Ovis aries: one gene and its partner. Each later gene encodes a partner of the first gene's protein in a complex. Links are inferred from orthologs where the notes say so. Each region holds a gene or a part of one and is shown on either strand. Other genes may lie near its edges.

What was found. Proteins that work in one complex are often made in the same cells at the same time.
Region 2: EXOSC7 (region 1) and EXOSC1 share a complex: the UniProt entries of both Homo sapiens proteins name them as parts of the RNA exosome core complex. The link is inferred for Ovis aries from reciprocal best matches to the Homo sapiens genes EXOSC7 and EXOSC1.

What each region holds. Positions count from the first base shown.
Region 1 is NC_056072.1:54,146,945-54,156,926, reverse strand, and holds the end of EXOSC7 (exosome complex component RRP42), read left to right. Parts: intron 1-2,436; coding exon 2,437-2,560; intron 2,561-3,570; coding exon 3,571-3,726; coding exon of another isoform or gene 3,727-3,882; exon of another isoform or gene 3,883-5,696; coding exon 5,697-5,801; 3' UTR 5,802-5,941; downstream 5,942-9,982. UniProt on the Homo sapiens protein: Non-catalytic component of the RNA exosome complex which has 3'->5' exoribonuclease activity and participates in a multitude of cellular RNA processing and degradation events.
Region 2 is NC_056075.1:18,478,317-18,489,236, forward strand, and holds the end of EXOSC1 (exosome complex component CSL4), read right to left. Parts: intron 10,243-10,920; coding exon 10,154-10,242; intron 9,384-10,153; coding exon 9,350-9,383; coding exon of another isoform or gene 9,343-9,349; intron 8,743-9,342; coding exon 8,692-8,742; intron 8,561-8,691; coding exon 8,476-8,560; intron 8,151-8,475; coding exon 8,044-8,150; 3' UTR 5,614-8,043; downstream 1-5,613. Other genes in the region: PGAM1 (phosphoglycerate mutase 1), read left to right, coding at 2,911-3,185, 3,705-3,885, 4,920-5,089. UniProt on the Homo sapiens protein: Non-catalytic component of the RNA exosome complex which has 3'->5' exoribonuclease activity and participates in a multitude of cellular RNA processing and degradation events.

The DNA.
Region 1 (9,982 bases):
TGTGTGTGTGTGAAAGAGATGGGAAGGGGTGTGTGTGAGTGTGTATGCATGCTTTGTGTGTGATGGGAAGGGGTGTGCGTGTGTGTGAGAGAGATGGGAAGGGGTGTGTGTGAGTGTGTATGCGTGCTTAGTGTGTATGTGATGGGAAGGGGTGTGTGTGAACCCCTCTGCTCTGGACCTTGGCGTGTGTAGGGACAGGCAGCAGGACTGAATCAGAGGGGGCTCTTGTCAGAGGCACAGGGAAAAGCACTGGCGCTGCTTCCGTAACTGGAGCTGGATGGACCGCCTCTTCCTTCCTGGCCCCACCCCACACTGGAATGAGCCGGCTTTATGGCGCCCCTGTGTTTCTAGCACCCAGCTCAAGAAAGAAGAACAGCGCCCGCCCCCGGAAGCCCTCCCACCCTGTACCCCCATGCAGTCACTGCACCCCCCGAGGATAACCACAGCCCTAAAGCAATAGGTCGCTTTGTGCGTGGTCCACACAGAATCCCGCGGTGTTTTCTCGCTGATGTCTGCCTCGGTCACCAAGCATTATGTTTTGAGACTTCTGTGTTGTGGCTTGTGGTCATGGCCCTCTGTTTTGCTGTGTGCTGGTCCGCTGCCGGCGAATATGCCACACTGATGTATCCATTCTTCTGCTGACGAGCGTCTGAGTAGTTGTCAGTTTTGAGCTCCTGCAAATAGTGGCAGCAGATACTGTGAAACGGTTTTCCAGGTTGCTTTTACCAAATGATACTCCTAGCTTTGTGTAGAGTCTGAGCTGCTCTGCCTCTTTGCCAGCCCCCCCCCTCCTTTTTTTTTTTTTTTTTTTTGGTCTTTTTAATATTAGCCATTCTGGTAGGTGTGTCTTGGTATCACATTGTAGTTGTATTTTGCACTTTCCTGATGAATATTTTAAGTTGAGCACCTTTCTGAGTGTCTGTCGGCTATGTGAATAGGCTCTTTTTTGAGGTTCCTATTGAAGTCTTTCGCCCATTTCTGTTGAGTCGTCTGTCTTTTCTGTTCGGTAGGAATTCGTTGTGTAATGTGTCAGTTTATGCACTCACACTCACACAGAGAAATAATTTGTTTTCTCCATTCTGGATGATCTTTTAGTTTCCAGATAATGCCTTTTGACAAACAGAAGCTTATCGTCTGTGTTACATCGTGCACACGCAGAGGCGCTCCTTGTCTCACTGCGCGCCCCTGGATTGTGCTTAGCTGGCGCGGCCTTCTCTGCAAAGTGAAGGTCTGTGGCCGTGCTGCAGCCAGCAGGTCCGTCAGCGCCATTTTCCCAACGGCATCTTCTCACCTCACGTCTCTTGCAGTATTCAGACTTCTTTGTACATATTTGTCACAGTGACCTGTGATCAGTAATTTTTGACGTTACTATTGCAAGAAGGTTCACATGATGTTTAACATTTTTTAATGTGTTTTTCACAGCAAGTTCAAATCTGGTGCTCTGTGACAACCGAGGGGGGTGGGATGGGGCGGGAGGTGGGAGGGAGGTTCAAGAGGGCGGGGACATACGCATACCTATGGCTGAGTCATGTTGGTACACGGCAGAAAGCAACACAATATTGTAAAGCAGTTATCCTCCAGTTAAAACTATCCTCCAGTTTGTTTTTTTTTTAAGAGTCTTTTAAAATTAAGGTATGTGCACTTTTTTCATTTCCTAGGTATAATGCTTGCGCCAAGCTTACAGACTGCGCTATAGTATAGACTTGGCTGCTTACGCACTGGGGAGTGGCCGAGTTCTCATGGGACTTGCTTTATTGTGGTGTCTGAAACCAGACCTGCCGTGTCTCCAAGATGTGTGTGTGTGTGTGTTCAGTTATAATTGAAGGCTAGTTTTGTTTCCTTTACAACGAGTACTCTGTGTCCTGTTTAATAATCTTTGTCTACTCGAAGGTCGTGAAGATGTTCTTAGTTAAAAGCTTTATGGTTTCACCTTTTACATCTGTGGTCCGTTTAGTATGGATTTTTGTGTTTGGTGAGAAGGTAGGGTTCAGGGCTCATTTTTGGATCTCTGTTGACCAAGTATTGTTTTAAATTTCATTTTTAAATTTTTTGTTGCTGGTTGAGGTATAATTCATGTAGCTTCAGGTGTATAATATAGTGATTTAGTATTTTTATATATTATACCCCATTTACAGTTACTCTAAAACATTGGCTATATTCTCTGTGCTGTACAATGTATCCGTGAAGCTTACTTATCTCATTCGCAGTATTTAGTTTGTGCCTCTCGATCTCCCCCGCCTCTAGCCCCTCTCCACTTGCCTCTGCCCAGCATCACTTTTTAAAAGACCTCCTTTCCTCACTGCACCCCTTTGGCAGGGCTGAGGGCAAACTCAGGCACAGCATGACTTCATCTTCTGAGGCACAGGGATTCCAACTCAAGAAAAAGAAGTTACCATGCTTCCTTTCAGTAACTGGGAATTTTAATTCTGCTTCTAGGATACCAAGAGTTCGTGTTCTGGAAGACGAAGAAGGGTCGAAGGACATTGAACTGTCCGATGACCCCTACGACTGCGTCCAGCTCAGCGTGGAGAATGTCCCCTGCATCGTCACCCTGTGCAAAGTATGAGCTTATATCTCATGGTTTTTTCTCCCCTGTCAATCTCCTCCAACCGTGGCCCGTTAAGGTTACCTAGTAGGTTGAGAAGTTATGGTTTACAACCCATACAGAAGTACCTTTAACCTAAATCCACTAATTTTGTTATATTAGAGACCACTACCATAAACAGCTTTCTCTTTTTCACTGGAAGATGTGGCTCTGGTCTCAGGAGCACATGAGTGGGTTCGTAGTATCAGTAGCCAGAGTTAGCAGAGCTCCTTCTGTCTACCAGGCATGTCACCAAAATACCTTGAATGCATATTTCCTTTACTTCTTCCAACTCTGGTGTCTGGGCTGCTTGGATAGTAAAAAGGTGGTTGAAAGGCGGACACTGTCCCCTCTGTGGGCCCTAATGAGCACATCTGTGAAATGAGGGCTGGAGCAGGGCCTGGGTGTCTAATACATCAAGCGTGGAGTGCCGAGGCCTGTGGAGCGGAGCAGCTAGCTGACGCTCAGGCCTGACTGGCACCGCCCAGGACTGTGCAAAGAGGCCTGTTCTGACTGAGAGTGTCATGATTCCACTCGGGATTCACTGGATACAGATCAGACTGACAGGTCAGGTTTAATTCCACCAGGATCGCTACATGAGCCTGGGCTTTGAGAAGTGTTGGGACGACCAGAGCCACCTGCCCTTGACTCATTCTTGAGCGCGTCCATCAGCATGGGCCCTCAGCATTCATCTCTGTCATCAGTGAAACATCCAGGGGACCTCTGCTGGAGACCCCTGGATAGCCCCTGACTTGGAAGGTCTCTGAATTTTAATTCTGACCACCATCCCCCGCACCGTGTATTTCCATTTCCTGCTTCTGTTACAGTTTACACAGCCTTTCAGCAGCACAGCAAACAGTGCTCCAGGTGTTCTCCTTATGAACAGAATCTAACATTAGGCCCGAATGGGTGTGTGGGCGTCGCCTCTGCGAGGCCCTCGGGGTGCGCGTTGCCCACGCGTGCGCACTGCTGCCCTCACCTTGCAGATTGGCTATCGGCACGTGGTGGACGCTACTCTTCAGGAGGAGGCCTGCTCCTTGGCCAGTTTGCTGGTGTCCGTGACCAGCAAGGGAGTCGTGACGTGCGTGAGGAAGGTGGGAAAGGGCAGCCTGGACCCAGAGAGCATCTTCGAGATGCTGGAGGTGCGTTTGGTTCTGCAGTGGGTGCTGGTACCTGGCTGGGGGCGCTTGCTGCCTCCTGCCCCTTGGTCACACGGGACACTCTCCCCATTTTCCCCTCTTCACCCCAGTTTTGGGGATTGGAGGGCAGCTGGTATAAGGCAGATGTCGCTGAGCTAGCTGAGATGGTGGTGGGTGGGGGCTTGGGACCAGGAGGTAGCGACTGGCCCAGAAGAGTTCCTTATCCTCTCCTTCTCTGACCCCAGTGCCACGTTTCTGAATAAGAATGTTGGACTGATAATGTTAAGAGTCACTTGTAACTGCCAAATCCCAGGCTTCGGTGATTGGATGAGAGAACTGAAATCCTGGCTGACTGCTTCCTGCCTGTTAAGGAGAGTGGGCAGAGGTGGAGCTGCGGGTACAGGATGGTGGTCTCCCCATTCCGTGTGGGCCTGGAAGCGTGTAAATGGAGATGAAGAGGGATGGGGGAAAGCCCCCCACGGCCTCTGGGTGGGTTGCTCCCCTCGGTGCCCCCAGGCCTGGCAGCAGCACTCGGGCGCTTTCCAGCTGCTCCTGAACTGACTGGTTGGCACTCCCATCCCCTCCACTCCTGATAAAGCTTAGACACTCAGCTGGTTGTGTGTCTGCCGCCCCGGCCACTATAACCTCTCCTGCAAATCCAGGTCCAGATCTCGCAAGCCCTGGTGGCCTGTTTGTCTCATTTCCTATTCTCTCCCTGTCTTCATTCCTATGAATAATCAGTTTCCCTAGTCAGTGTCCCCTACTTGGACATTTTTTCCTTTTCTTAATGTTGCGATAGAAATCTTTCCAAAGTCACTTTGGACCTTAATCCTGATTTCGCATTTCATAGACTCAATCCCTTCCTGGTCTTTAGACTAAGCTCTTCTCTTCATGAGTTTTCGTGATATGGGGGTCTCATCCCTTGTTATAGTCCGGGGTCGGGAAAAGCCACACAGCCCTGGGGAGAGTCCACCGATGACTAGGAGGACTGGGGTGGGGCCAGGGCCTGGGTGTCTTTCTCCCTGACATTGTCGGGGATGGAACCAGTAGCACAAGTGAACTAAAGCTGGTATGAGACCATGGAAGGCTTGGAGAGGAAACTTGTAGTCGGTTCATAATGTTCTTGAAATGATTCATGTGACCCAAAAACAGTTGCATGAAGAAAGATTTTTATATAGTTGGGATTTTTTTGTCAAAGCCCCCTTCTGTCAGCTGTGTAGGGGGCTAATTAGGAAATCTATGGCGTTGTCTGACCTCGTGACATGCCTTGATCCCAGTAACGTATGCTTTTAGCATCTCTGCATGGCAGTAACATCAAAGACTCTATTCAGGTATTGACTTTGGTCCTATCTGAGCAGGTCTCCTTTGGTGGCAGGCAGATTAGACACTGCTTGTTAAAAAGGGTTCCCAGCACCATCTGTTCCTTCATCAGACAGATTCTGGATTCCCCGTGGTCTCCCCATGCCTTCTCTCTGCAACGCAGTGGCTGTAGCCAGGTTCTGACGGGGCTGACTGTTCTGCTGCTTCCAGTGGCAGCAGCTAAGGACCGAGGCCGCTTTTGTTCCTTTCTGCTTGCTGCTTGGGGGCTGCCTTCTTCTTTTTCCCCTTTCTCAGAATAGAGGCTTTCCCAGAAGGTTAACTACTGTGGTGTCGGGGTTTGGAGGGTTGGGTTTTTTTTTGGCAGCACCTGGTCTTAGTTGCAGCATGCAGGATCTTTAGTGGTGGCATGTGGGATCTATAGTTCCCTGTCCAGGGATCGAACTCGAGCCCCCTGCATTGGGATTGCAGAGTCTCAGCCTCTGGACCACCAGGAACTCCCTGGGGTTTTTATGTTGAATGAAAGTCCTGTAAGGCCGATGGCATGTGTGCGGCTTTGGAATGGCTGGTTGGCAGGGACGCTTCTCTCAGTCAGAGTACGTGTGCCTCACGGGCGGGCGTGTGCCCTCTTCTGTCTGCCCTTCTCCGTCCTGCAGACTGGCAAGCGCGTGGGCAAGGTGCTGCATGCCTCCCTGCAGAGCATTCTACACAAGGAGGAGAGCCTGGGGCCCAAGAGACAGAAAGTCGGATTCCTGGGCTGATGTGCACAGCAGCCTCCAACTGCCGAATGTTTGTCTTCTCCTTTTCCCTGGAAGCTGAAGTTTGTATACATTGTTTTCTTAACTGCTGTGAATTTAAGGCAACATTTGTACATGTGAAATTAAAGTCTATTTTCTGGTCTCGTGTGTGGTATGGCTTGACTTCTTCAGCTGTACGCCAGGATGCCATTTGTGGCTCCACCACAACTGACCCTTCTCTAGGAAATGACAACTAAGTCCAGAGACCTGCTCCAGTGGAGGACTCTGGTCCCAGGCCTCTCCAGGGAGACTTGTCTCCTGCTGCAGGAAATCAGAACAACAAACACACACACTAAAATAAGACCTACCAGAAAAATAGTTCAAAGGAACTGCTTATGATATCAGAGTCAGTTCAGTCGCTGAGTCATATCTGACTCTTTGCAACCCCACGAACTGCAGCACACCAGGCCTCCCTGTCCATCACCAACTCCCAGAGTTCACCCAAACCCACACCCATTGAGTCAGTGATGCCATCCAACCATCTCATCCTCTGTCGTCCCCTTCTCCTCCTGCCCTCAATCTTTCCCAGCATCAGGGTCTTTTCAAATGAGTCAGCTCTTTGCATCAGGTGGCCAAAGTATTGGAGTTTCAGCTTCAACATCAGTCCTTCCAGTGAACACCCAGGACTGATCTCCTTTAAGATGGACTGGTTGGATCTCCTTGAAGTCCAAGGGACTCTCAAGAGTCTTCTCCAACACCACAGTTCAAAAGCATCAATTCTTCAGTGCTCAGCTTTCTTTACAGTCCAACTCTCACATCCATACATGACCACTGGGAAAACCATAGCCTTGACTAGACAGACCTTTGTTGGCAAAGTAATGTCTCTGTTTTTTAATATGCTCTCTAGGTTGGTTGTAACTTTCCTTCCAAGGAGTAAGTGTCTTTTAATTTCATGGCTGCAATCACCATCTTCTTATGATATATATATTGTCAATTTTCTCCCCCTTAGAGCTTTCAAGATGATACTCACACACAATATAAATGCAACTCGTGCATTTGGGGGCTTCCTGGTTGAGATGGAGAAGGCATTCTGCCCTGGGTACCGACCCAGGGTTTCTGCCTGGCTGGTGAGCCTTCCCGAGTTTTGGGGAAGCCCAGTTCTTGCTACTGGCCCTCTAAGAGATCCCAGCCGAGCTCCCCTAGGGTCTGGTCCTGAGCCAGCCTTTCTTATCACTCTTGTTTGGAAATTGCTTCATGTTTTATAACCACTCCCTGGTGTTTTGTAAGATTTCCAGGTTTTATCAGTATTAAGAAGGCTGCTTTAGAGATGTTGCCATTTGATTACTCAGCCCGCCTTCATACTCTGGGGACAGAAGGGGAGGCCATTCTTCTGGCTTTCAGAACGCGCTTTCTGTGAGCCCGTGTTCTACTCACAGGACAGCGTGCTGGAATTAAGTCTATTCATGGGTTGAAGCAGTCTTGGTATTCCTTTGCCGGGGGAACTGAAACTCCCCAGTCGATCTTCAAGAGAGCCCTGGGGAAGGAGCTGATTCATGAAGGAGTGTTTCAGCGTGGCATTTTACTCTCTTCGTTTCATTAAACAAACAGGGTAAGGAGTTAGGAATTTTTATTGCCAGATGGAAAGAACATAATGTGAGCTGAAGCCCTTGCAGGTTGACTGCAGAGGTCCTGGCGTGGGCATCTCCCGGCCTGGCCAGGGGTGCCCAGTGGAGAGGAGCAGCTGCCTAGACTTGGAGCTGCTGCCCTGTGGAGAGAACAGCCGGGGATTTCTTCTTTTGCTTTATTTCCAGGGAGAGTCCTCATGGGTGCCGCCACAGTGCTGCCAGCGAGGTGGCAATCAGCCTGTTCCTCTTCCCCTGGCGCTGGTTGGCTGCCTGTGATGGAGCGTTCACAGTGGGGCTGCGCAGCTGCAACCAGAACGTGAACACGGTTGAGAAGCCTTTGGTTTCGGTGATTAGAGGCATCAGAGTTGCGACAGACAGGTGACGCTGTCCCAGTCCAACTGTGCCACAGCTACCCACCTGGGCCTGCTGGCAGAGCCCGTCCAGTGCAGATGAAGGGGAGAGGCAGATGTCAGCATGTCTCTACCGCCCCGTCCGTACCTTTCCTTGAGGGCCACCCTGCCTGGAAGAAGCATCCATCACAAATGAAACAAAACACCAAGTGAGCAGGGTCTCTCCAGAGAGGCTTTCCTGGAATTGTCTGGTTACTGCAGCTCTCAGAATAAGGAAAGAGAACTGAAGGCAGAGACTGGCAAAGACTTGGGAAAATATTGTCCCAGAGAACTCCACTACTTCATTCAGCAGAACCAGAGCTGTCTTTAGTGGCCATTAAATCAGTGTTGGGGAGAACTAATATGAGCCAGAAGGCAATCAGGAGTTTGTGGGCGGGGGGCTCAGTGAGGGTGGGCATGGAAGGAATGGAGTATTACAGAATATTCTAATTGCTTTTATTCTTTGATTCCTTGGTCTCTGAAATCGTGTAAATTCAAGCCTACAAAGCACACGAATTTCTAAAATTGACAGCTGTTTGCGTTTTGCTCAGTAAAGGCAGTGGTCTCCCATATACCTGCTGGTTCAGTTCAGTTCAGTCGCTCAGTCATGTCCCACTCTCTGCAACCCCATGAATTGCAGCACACCAGGCCTCCCTGTCCATCACCAACTCCCAGAGTTCACTCACACTCACATCGATCGAGTTGGTGATGCCATCCAGCCATCTCATCCTCTGTCGTCCCCTTCTCCTCCTGCCCCCAATCCCTCCCAGCATTGGGGTCTTTTCCAGTGAGTCAACTCTTTGCATGAGGTGGCCAAAGTACTGGAGTTTCAGCTTTAGCATCATTCCTTCCAAAGAACACCCAGGACTGATCTTTAGGATCGACTGGTTAGATCTCCTTGCAGTCCAAGGGACTCTCAAGAGTCTTCTCCAACACCACAGTTCAAAAGCATCAATTCTTCGGTGCTCAGCTTTCTTTATAGTTCAACTCTCACATCCATACATGACCACTGGAAAAACCATAGCCTTGACTAGATGGACCTTTGTTGGCAAAATAATGTCTCTGCTTTTCAATATGCTGTCTAGGTTGGTCGTAACTTTCCTTCCAAGTAAGCGTCTTTTAATTTCATGGCTGCGGTGATTTTGGAGCCCAAAAAAATAAAGTCTGCCACTGTTTCCACTGTTTCCCCATCTATTTGCCATGAAGTGATGGGACCAGATGCCATGATCTTAGTTTTCTGAACTTTGAGCTTTAAGCCAACTTTTTCACTCTCTTCCTTCACTTTCATCTAGAGGCTTTTTAGTTCCTCTGCACTTTCTGCCATAAGGGTGGTGTCATCTGCATACTGAGGTTATTGGTATTTCTCCCAGCAATCTTATAACTGCCAGTTGAGCATAAATCTATGTTAGTCAATATTTTTTTAAGATAGTCTGGCAGTGTGTATTAAAAGTCTTAAAACTTTCAGGCCCGTTGACCTAATAATTGAGTTCTGGAAATGTCACCAAAGAGTAAAAACAGAAGTCCATCCCAGTGCTTGTGCGAGAAAGGCCGAGCAGCACAGGAAGCTAAAGGGATACCCTTGGCAGGGTCCTCTGTCAGAGACGGGGCTTTCGTCAGGAGAAAGGGACTCTGGCCTGGGAGAAAGACAGCATCTTGGCCCCTCATATTCCTCTGGACGCTTTGGGCAGGCAGAAGAAACTGCCACCTGTAGAGAAGCATTCCCCAGAGAAACACTATACCAGTTTCCACACAGGCACCATACCTGAGGCAGATTTCTCATAAAGTGATAACACCTTCCCTCCTTGGCTCCAGGCCCATAACTAGGGACTGATGACAGCCCAGCCTGAGCAGGGAAACACAGGCCCTGCCCTGGGAAGACAGACACGACTCATCAAAATAATCGCAAGACCTGGCTTGGCAGGTACCAAGGAAACAGAGCTGGGAGTGGCTCTGAGGGCGCTGGACCAGGGTCAGGGCTGGGCGGGGGCCTAATGTCCTGGCACGGAGATCTGAAGGTTTCCTAATTCACTGCTGGGACAGCCCCTGAAGTTGCGCCTCGCTGGCACCTGGAATAAATGTGGAGGAGAAGCCAGAACTGAACAGGCTGGAAGAGCAGCAAGGCTTCTCAGAGCTGGAAGAGAGGTGAGGACCGAGGCAACCACTGCTCCCCAAACTGGGGAGGCCCGCAGGC
Region 2 (10,920 bases), on another chromosome or scaffold:
TGAAGGATTTGAGTTAATCCTCTTCACAACCCCATAAAGTATACAGATTTCATTCCCGTCCTTCCCAACTCTCCCTGGCCCTCTTTCACAGTTGGGAAAGTGAGAGTTGGAAAGAGGACTTGACCAAGGCTACATCTTATTCCTAGTCTACCACGCTGGCCTCTGTTCTGGGGATGAGTAAACAGGTAGGTGCGAGGGAACTGGTAGGCTGTGGCAGGCAAAGGTGGAAGTGGAAGTGAGATAAGCTTGCCTAACTCAGGCTGGCCCCCTCTGGCAGACGGCTCTCTGTGATTTTGAAATGCTAATAAGGAAGCATTCCCTGCTGCCAGCAATTCAAAGAATCTCGGGACTGAGGAGGTGCTTCCATTGATCCTGCTCTGCTCCCTTTTAACCTCGACAAAGCAGCAGCCGTTGAAATAGGTCATTGATGCCTGGTTGATGTGAATCAGGTATTTGGCCCAAATTTGCTCTTTCTAGGTTCTTGCCTCCACTGTAGATCTTTTAGAAATGAAGCAAAGGCTTGGAAACAAGTCTGGGAAATGTAATCCTGCTGAGGATGTGTGTGAGTAATTGGGGATGGCCGGGTGTGACCTCATACCGGTTAGGAGAGGCCAGGATGGGGAAAGTGCTGGTAACGGAGGCCATTTTCTCTCCTGTCTGGCAGGAAGAACTGAATGGGTCTGTGGTGGCTTGCTGATGACTGACCCAGGACAAAGCAAAGTGCAACTGTCCCCTAAGACTGGTCAAATGCCTTAACTTGTAATCTCTTAAAATAACAGACCCAAGTTCAGTTTTTAAGTAAATGTTAGTAGCATTAGTTTAAAAAGAAAGCCCATTAAAATTTTAAAATAGCTGTTTAGGGGCATCACAGATGATTAAATAAAAAGTCAATGACTAAAAGCAAAAATTCTGAATGATGAAGACCATATGAATAATCTAATAATATAAAAGGCCTAAAATAAAGTATTAATTTCACCAGGGCTTTAAGTACTGTAGGGCTTATAAAATCTTGCATGATTTCAGGAGCAAATTAGCAAGAACTGAGTTTCACCACGCCATATTATTAAGGGAGGATGGAGGCCACATGGCACACCAGCTAACCCCATCCCTGGGAGCGTCCTAAACTCTGCTTTTGTTTGATGGCCAAGTTAAAGGAAGAGGCTTTAGAGTTTGTTGAGAATTATAAGGGGAACTGCTCTTTTTCTCTGGGATCTATTTGTGTATCTAATGTGCAGCACTCCACTGCAATGAGAAAACTCAGTGAAAAAACCACAGCTTTTCAGCATGGCAGCTGAGCCTTGCACTGAGGATGCTGCTTCCCAGTGACTCAGCCTTTTACTGGGAAATCATTCTTCCCTATAAAGTTAGGGAGGAGATGGTAAGTGAGTCTACTAGGACTGGTCCTGAGGCTCAGCGATGAGATGTGTCTTTTCCCTCGTGGGTGCTGGTGAGTCTCCTGGTGACTAATCCTCCCTTCCCCCATCAGTGTAGTTCTTACTGGCCTTATTCTCAGCTGAATGACTGGCAGAAAATTCACTTCATTAATTTCTGTTGGTGGTTTCAATACAGGAAAGTTTGTGCTGAATTTCAATGAGGGCCTTATAGCCTCATTGAAGAAAACAGTAATGTTTTCCTGGCTCACTGCATAAGGAAAGGGGCATCTCCCCATTAAAGTGGGAGGGAGAATAATGGTTTGTGAAACATAAATGAAGATATATATGGTTGTAACTTACTGGTTGGGCCAACATAACTCTTGATACCACCCCTCATAACTGCTGTGTGTAGAGGAGAGGTCTGCTTTTTCTCCAGTGAGTGGCTTCTCTTAAACTTGGTTTAACAGTTGATGTAGGTAGGTAGATATATAGGGTAGTCAAGTAATTTGACTAGCAGAAAGGAACTGTGGATGAAGAGATTGTGATGTGATTTCCATACGCTAGGGAAGATACAATTTCATGCAACAGACTGGTTTTATCAGCATCCTGTAAGAGCTCTTGCTGTATCCTAATTGTTGAATTAAAAATCCCATTTCTCCTGGACCAGAAATTAGAGAGGACTGAAATATATCAGTAATTATCAATCAGAAGTGACAGTTCTAACTAAAATACAAACATCAGAATCCTTAGAAGTTAGGAAGCTATGGAGAAAGCTAGAGATGGTGGTTATGAGTTGGATTATAGAGTCATACAACCTGGGTTTTTAACCTTTCATGTAATATCTGTGACCTCAGATAATTTGCTTAACTCCTGCAGTTTCTATTTCCCCCACCCAGTAAGATGGATTGTAATGACGTAACCTCATTAGATTGTTATGAAGACTAAATAAAACACATACAAAGTACTTACTAGTCCAGTGCCTGGTAAACCCTCTATAAATATTAAATATTATGTTTATTAAGTGACTCCAAGTTTTTAATATCCTTATGTTAAAAGAATTAAAGCAAATAAAAAATTAAAATGTGCTTAAGCACAGCACTCTGGGGATTAGCGCAGATCTCAGGTTAGCTCGTTGACAATACATTTGGGCCTTTGGTTAGATGAATTATTGGGAAGCTGCTGGGAAGTATATTGTCAATTGCAACATAAATCAACAAATGTTACCTTTCCCAAAGGCAAAATATTGTTTTTCCTGTATGTAAAATATTTAGGGTATAGAAAATATTTAGCCAAATAATTTTCATTTGGGTTGTCCATACCTGAGATTTATATGTAAGAAAATTCTGGCTCTAGGGAATTTCCTGGCGGTCTAGTAGTTAGCACTCCTTGCCCTCACTGCCAAGGGCCCAGGTTTAATCCCTGGTGGGGAACTAAGATCCCACAAGCCATGTGGCATGGCTAAAGAAAAGGAAAAAGAAGAAATTCTGGCTCTAGAGTGGACCTCATTGGCTTATCACTTTTAACTTACAATTTTCAGATGCTGGCTATGAGTTTGACATCTGCTTCACCTCAGTGCAGAAGAGAGCAATCCGGACCCTCTGGACAGTGCTGGATGCCATTGACCAAATGTGGCTGCCAGTGGTGAGGACTTGGCGCCTTAATGAGCGACACTATGGGGGTCTGACTGGCCTCAATAAGGCAGAAACTGCGGCCAAGCATGGTGAGGCCCAGGTAAAGATCTGGAGGCGCTCCTATGATGTCCCGCCACCTCCCATGGAGCCCGACCATCCCTTCTACAGCAACATCAGTAAGGTATGGACAAACTGAGGTTTGGCTCGCTGACACAGGACCAGGGGATCAGAATCTGGACTTCTCTCTTTTAGCTTTTATTAGTATCTGCCTAGATCACTGAGTTTCTAATTTATGATAAAATAAATACCCCTTGTAATCCCTCTTTTCCAAGGAATGACCATCACTTGTTAAGAGTTTATGTGGTTTATCTATAAAGAATTTCTATCTTTTTTACATGTATTGCCATATTTTTTAAAACTGCACTGTAGCTGATAGGGCCTTCCTAAACCAATTGCGAGGTAAGAGTGAGTTGGGAAGGCCTTGAGGCCTACCTTTCCTAAGCTGTGTTTCTTTTGGACTATTCAATCTTCCCTGTCGTGGGTAATGGGGGAGGGAGGGCAGGATAGTAATAATCCGCCTTCTCAAGCTCTCAGTGCCCTGGTGAGAGACTTTTACCTGTACTGTGATCCCTTAGGGGATGAGGAATAGGCAGAACAGATGCAACTGGTAATAACTGTTAAGCTGGGATTTTTTGTTTAGGATCGCAGGTACGCAGACCTCACAGAAGACCAGCTGCCCTCATGTGAGAGTCTGAAGGACACAATTGCCAGAGCTCTGCCCTTTTGGAATGAAGAAATTGTCCCCCAGATCAAGGAGGGGAAACGGGTACTAATTGCAGCCCATGGCAACAGCCTTCGGGGCATCGTCAAGCATCTGGAGGGTATGTGTGCTTTTCAGAGGGGCCCTTGGGGAAGGGTAAAGCAGAGCTGCCACTACTCTGGACTGATTTAGTATGAAGGAGACCTTTAGGAAAGGGTTGGATGTACTGAGAGCCTTAGAGACAGTCCAGATTATCTCCTAGTAGAAACATGATCCTTGCTTCTCAAAGCATCATCTGCAGAACCAGAGGCTGCCACACCCCACTGGGTGCTTGTTAACAAGTTAGAACCTCAGGTCCCACTTCAGACCTGATTTGGAAGCTGCATCTGTCATCGCTCCGTTACAGCAGAGTGATCACCCAAGGAATGCCCCCAGTATTCTTTCTTAGCCACTGAACAGCAAGAAAAAAAGGGATGGAAAGTATCTCTCCCCAGAGGAGATACACACGAAAGTTTGAGATGCCTACCTCTAGACTGAGTCGGGAAGACTCCCTAGAGAAGGAAATGGCAATCCACTCCAGTACTATTGCCTGGAAAATCCCATGGACAGAGGAGCCTGGTAGGATACAGTCCATGGGGTCACAGAGGTGGACACAACTGAGCGACTTCACTTTCACTTTCACCTCTGGACTAGGACTGCTAGTTGAAATTGCTGATAAAAATCCTTAACCACAGCCTGATTACAACTCCCCACATGAGTGTCAGTTTGCATCCTAAGTTGTTTCACTTGAGGGCCTAGAGGCCCAGATGCGCCACGTTTTGGCAGCTGTATGGACAACATAGGACATTTGAGATACTAAGATGTATAGTCCTGCTTCACTGTGGGCTTCCAGATCCCCCTTGGGGAGGGATACCTTTCATCCCTTTTTTCTTGCTGTTCAGTGGCTGAGAAAGAATATTGGGGGCATTCCTTGGGTGATCACTCTACCCTAATACAGATCCTTACTCTTATGACAAGTATCAGAAAGGGTGTCTTAATTCCTGCCAGAGTCCTTGGAGGACCCATTTCCTCACCTGGACGATGAACAGAAAAGCTGGAGAGGTCTGTGGATTCTTATCTTGCTTGACTGATCATGAGGCGGGGGTATATTTTCAGGTCTCTCTGAAGAGGCTATCATGGAGCTGAACCTGCCGACTGGCATTCCCATGGTCTATGAATTGGACAAGAACTTGAAGCCCATCAAGCCCATGCAGTTCCTGGGGGATGAAGAGACCGTGCGTAAAGCCATGGAGGCTGTGGCTGCCCAGGGCAAGGCCAAGAAGTGAGGGCAAGCAGCAGATTGCTTTCCCAGGGATTACCCTCCTCCCCTGCCCTGGCCCACCCTACTCCTCTGCACCTCTCCCTGGCACATGTCCCACTGATGACATCTGTAGGCATCATAAGTTGTAGCTGCAGGTGGGGACCAGCGGCTCCCAATTCCACATTAGCCATTTTATCTCTTGCACCCACTCCCTTCATACAGTCTAGTCAGAATGGCACGTCTGGGGCATGGTCCTCGGTCCAAGCTGAGGGAAGACTTATCCAGAAGTGTTGAGAGGTTATCACTGGGGGGGGTTGATAGTGGTTTATTACTAAGGAGCAGCTTGCATAGGGGTCAGGGAGAAAACCATGCTGAGCTGTGACCAATGGTAAGAGCCTGTTCGCATCCCCAGAGGCCAGCTGGGCACTGTTGTTAGGTGACTCGGGGCTCTAGTCATTCCAGTGGAAGATGAATGTAACCTGCATGGTGACTCAATCAAATATTCCTCCCTGACTCTAAAAGGCTGGATCAATCCTGAATGTTTCTGTGTTGCATTTACTTTAAAAAAAAAAAAATTATATATAAATACAAAAAAAAAAAAAACCCTTCTGGGGTTTTTAGTGGCGGTTGAAATACTCCCACATGTGGTCATCAGCAAATAAGTCATTCCTTACACCATCATGGGATAAGCTCCTTGACTTCTAAGGCGTAGGAGTTCATCCTGTTGTGTGTTTTAGAATCCCTCCCCGGCCTTACTGTTTTGTGGCAGCGGAATGCCTCTTGATCATGTCCAAGTGTGTCTCTCACTGTGCCTGCCTTCTGAACCATGTTCCAGTTGCTTGGCCTTGCACTTGGGCCCAGTACTCATTTGAGCATAACTGTACTAAAAATATCTTTTTTCCAGATCAGTATAAAATAAAGGAGTGATGTGCAATATTTTCTGTGTGATATGTCTTACCTGAGGAAATCAACTCGAACATTCAACTCGAAATGTCTCTCACTGCCCAAGTTCGTGTATGACTAAGAGCTTTAGGATAGCCAGTCACAACTTTACACAGCCATTTTATCTCTTGCACCCACTCCCTTCATACAGTCTAGTCAGAATGGCACATCTGGGGCATGGTCCTCAGTCCAAGCCGAGGGAAGACTTATCCAGAAGTGTTGAGAGGTCATCACTGGGGGGTTCCCAATACCATGTATCTCACTGGGTTCTCCACTACAGGTTGAGCTGAACTGTTTCCTGTTGCCTCTCTACAGCTCTTGCTCAATGGTACTGGTTACTAAAATCAAATTTTGAAACTATTATACCTTTTTTCAGTTCAGTTCAGTTCAGTTGCTCAGTCGTGTCCGACTCTGCGACCCCATGAATCACAGCACGCCAGGCCTCCCTGTCCAGCACCATCTCCCGGAGTTCACTCAGACTCATGTCCATTGAGTCCGTGATGCCATCCAGCCATCTCATCCTCTGTCGTCCCCTTCTCCTGCCCCCAATCCCTCCCAGCATCAGAGTCTTTTCCAATGAGTCAACTCTTCACATGAGGTGGCCAAAATATACCTTCTTTAGAAAGGTAAAAGTTTGTTTACTAGACTTAAAAAAGCCAGTCCCTTTCTATTAGTAAACTGTAAACTTGATTCACACCTTTCCTTTTGGCTCCTGAAGTTTTATCCCTGTCAGTTACCTAACCTCCTCAGAAATTATACTTGCAGGAGAAAATGAATCTATAGTCATCCCTTATCTGCAGTGGGGAGACTGATTCCAGGACTCCTCTGGATACTGAAATTAACAGATGCTAGGGACTTCCTTGGTGGTCCAGGGGCTAAGACTCAGCTCCCAATGCAGGAGGCTAGGGTTGGATCCCTGGTCAGGGAACAGGATCCCACATGCATGCAGCTGAGTCTGCATGCTGCAGTGAAGAGCAACTAAGACCCAGCACAGCCAAAATAAACATTTCAAAATTAACAGATGCTAAAGTGCCTAATACAAGGTGGCATAGTACAGATGGCTCTCTCCCCATGGGTTTCCCATCCATGGATAGGGAGGACTGACTGCAGTTGTCTACATAATTGGGGAGGGGCATTGCTCACACTTGCCTTTTCTCTGAGGCCTCTGAGAAGATCACTGGAATATGAGAAAGCCCATAATGCCGTCCTCTTCTAGTAGGAACAAGTGACACCCTCCATCTAGAAAATTCTTAAGCGCTCTGTGCTAGCCATCAGGTGAGACATGTTGTATACATAATCTTCAATCCTGATAACCTCTGAAAGGGCTAGTGTCATTTACAGAAGAGGAAACACGCTGAAAACAGAAACGGGCCAGAAGGTACACTACTGAGTACTGGGACCCAGTATGAATGTTGCCCTTATTCTAAAATTTAAGCATCTTGCTTTCCAAGTTAGCTGTTTATCTGATGTGCCCAGTAATCCTAGGAAGACTTTTAGTACTTTAAGTCTAAAGTAGCCTGATGGGATGTTAGTTTCCTTAGCTTGTACTGAATCTTAGAACAAAAGTTGGTAATTTTGTGCTCAACCCATGCCTGACACATAGCAAGTACTCAAAAGTATGTAGCACATAAAAAAAACACACAAAAAAGATAGGTGATTAGGCATTGTCTACAAAGACTCTGCTCTAGATGTCATGTCAGTTTAGATTCTTTACCCTACTTGAGACAACAGAAACTAAAATTTTCATAAAAATGTTTTCTTTGTCATAGCAAAAGCACACATGTGCAACACTCAAAAGAATAGGCTATAATCTAACGTCATACAGGTTGTTTGCTGGTGCCTCCAAAAGAAATTACTCCAGAGAAGAAAACCCACTGAAAGGTTCACAAGAAAAACGTTCCACCTACAGGAAAGATTTTTCTAAAGGTGGCTGTTGACCAACCCCTGGTATCTGAATAAAGACAACAGCCTCCTGATGTCACTCACACATGTACTCTTGGAAAACAGCTTCCCCTTCTGCGTGGGGAAAGTGGCTTCTTAGGTCTGCAGGAACTCAGGCTGCACTCGGGCCACCTTCCGGAATTCTTTGGTGTGGGTCTTTGGGCACTGCATCTCACACCAGCTGATGGGGACCATCTGGACACCTGCAAGGGGAAAGGTGGTGTAGGAGCTGGGACCCCAGATACTTGCTCGAGACATTTCTCTTTTCAGCTGGGTGTGAACTGATGTCACCAAGCTGCCTAGTGAACCTCTCACCTCATACAGAAAAAAGCCTTGTTTATTCCACTGATTTAAGTAGTAAGTGGCTCCTTTCCTTAGATTTTATAAGGAGAATCATTCTAATCCCAGTAGTCAGTATCTACACTCACATTGCTTCTAAGATAATTAAAAAACGAGGGAAAACAGTGGACTAATCCCAACCTTAGCTCTCAGGAAAAGGTAAGCACATGGTAGCATGGACAAACTCACCTGATTCGCTGTGGGCCACCACCACTCCCAGCTCATTTTCGGCAGTGGTTAGCAGGTAGTTGGATTGCGCATCACCTAGGGAGATCTAGTCATGTCACGTTAGTAAAGGAAAACAAAGACTTACAAGTCTTCCCTCTCATAGCTACTTGAGTGATTTCTCTACTTCCATTTCTTCCTTTGACAAAGGATCACAAGTCTTCAGGGAATAAAGGATACCACTTTGGCCAAGACGATGTCCCCTGGGCGGAAACTCTTATAAATTTCAACCTGTAAAGAAAGAAGTGTTAAGTAAAAACTCCGATCAGGTCTATAATGAAACTATTAACCCCACTGGGTAGAGCTAGTTTACTTCTAACCCCAGAGGGTAGAACCCCAATGGCAGATCTACCATTACTCAAGTAGAGCAACAACTTTTATTGATTCTGCGGCATCATCACAAAAATGAAAGATCTGAACTCAGTAACCTGATCAGGAATCTGACTTAGACAAAAGGTACTATGGTTGCCCTGAAAGGGTCCAGAATAAGTCTGAGAGAACAGCCATGAATAAATACCTGGCTTCAAAGACAAAGTGTAAACTAGCTCCTCTCTGGTCAACAGAAGAAAAATCACACAAAGAGGAAAGGAATAGTGAGGTGAATTCCACACCTTCCAGTAGAGAACACCTTAAAATTCCTTGGACTCCACATTCCCACAGACTTTTTTTTTTTTTCCCAAACATGAACCCCCCTCCCACCTCCCTCCCCATAACATCTTTCTGGGTCATCCCCATGCACCAGCCCCAAGCATGCTGCATCCTGTTGAAATTCACTGGAATAATCTCAAAGGACTGAGATTCCTAAAGCCATGAAGAAAAAAAAGAGCCAACCAACAACCTTGTCTTTTTCAGTAGCTCGGACGTCTTCTTTGCTATAAAGAAAAGAAGTAACAGAAAGATTAATTATCTGTGAGAAAGAATTATCCAGCAGACTCCTAGCAGAGAAAGAGCTATAAGAGCAAAGAGAACAAGTCCTGATCCGGACCCTGCTGCCACCCAGAGGAGCAGGTGGAGAAATATTTCCCGTCCTAACCCCGAGGAGAAAATCACAGTTCCCATTCTTCGATCAAACAGAACAGGAGTATCAATACCTCCCACTAGAGGAAAGTGGATCCGATTTGGCAGAGGATAAGGAGCTCTGCTGCCTTAGGAGAGCTTGAATGGCAGCATCACAGAACCACACAGAATCCTGAGGGTGGAAAGAGCCTCAGATGTTAAATTATCTAGCTCACAAGAACTGTCTGTCCCTTCTCAAAGAACCCATAGTGGGGAAAAAATACCACTTTACCCACTATCCTTTTTATTGTCTTATAATGCTTGGGTTAATCGATATTAACACAAGAAAAAAAGGTACTTCCTAAAATGCCTTCTACTTTGGTATGAATCATACCCACAATGCACCTCCAGCTTATTCAATTCTTTTTTGTTCTATTTAAAGCCCTATCTCATTAATATCTTCCTTCTGTTTTAACTCACATACTATAATATTTTCTTTAGATACTACCTGGGGAGAATCAAAGCACAAAGAGGTGAGACAGGGCAGGAGTAGACTGTTAATTGTTCTTAAAAATTCCAGTCTCCCATCCTATCCTAATCTCATTCCAGGCGCTGAGGCGAATATGAAGACAAAAATACTCCTTACCGGATGGTTCCTCGAAAAGAGTTCTTAAGTGGCGTGGACCCCACATATAGGATGCGTACTTTGGCAAAGCGTGAATTGATGCTGGAGACCTGTGGAACAGAGGAAAGGGCAACATTATAGAGGGCAACATTATAGAGTATTAGCAGTTGTCAGCTGAAGGAGGCAGGAATCAACTAGGAAAGACTAGGATTTTAGTCCAAGCATCCCTACTAAGCATAGAATTTCAGATAAGTTAACTCGTATTTATCCCTGCATAAGGGATGTTCATAAAGTGGAGTAAGAGCCACTCTGGCCACCTAAAGTAGAGTTACCGAGGGAATCAAATGAAATAATATGGCAGAGATTTTTAAAAATGTGCAAGTCTAACATAAATCCACAAGGGAAGCATAGCAACTCTAACTAGACCTTTAGCAGATCTCACCAAGAGGCCTGTAGTGTGAATGGAACTTAAGTCTCCATTTCAGCTGCTGGGTAATATTTGGATCACTGTGCCTGTCCAGTTATTTTCAAAATAATGCATAGATTTTCTCTTTTTTTCCTTTTTTAAATTTGGCCACGCTGTGTGGCTTGCAGGATCTTAGTTCCCTGACCAGGGACTGAACATACACCTTTGGCACTGAAAGTGCAGAGTCCTAACCACTGGACTGCCAAGGAATTCCCCACATAGATTTTCTGTTGGAGAAATTATTTACAGAGGAAAACTAAGAGCTACAAGTTAACTGGCAGAGGGTGGGGATGGGCAGGGAATACGGATGTCTTATAGTTAC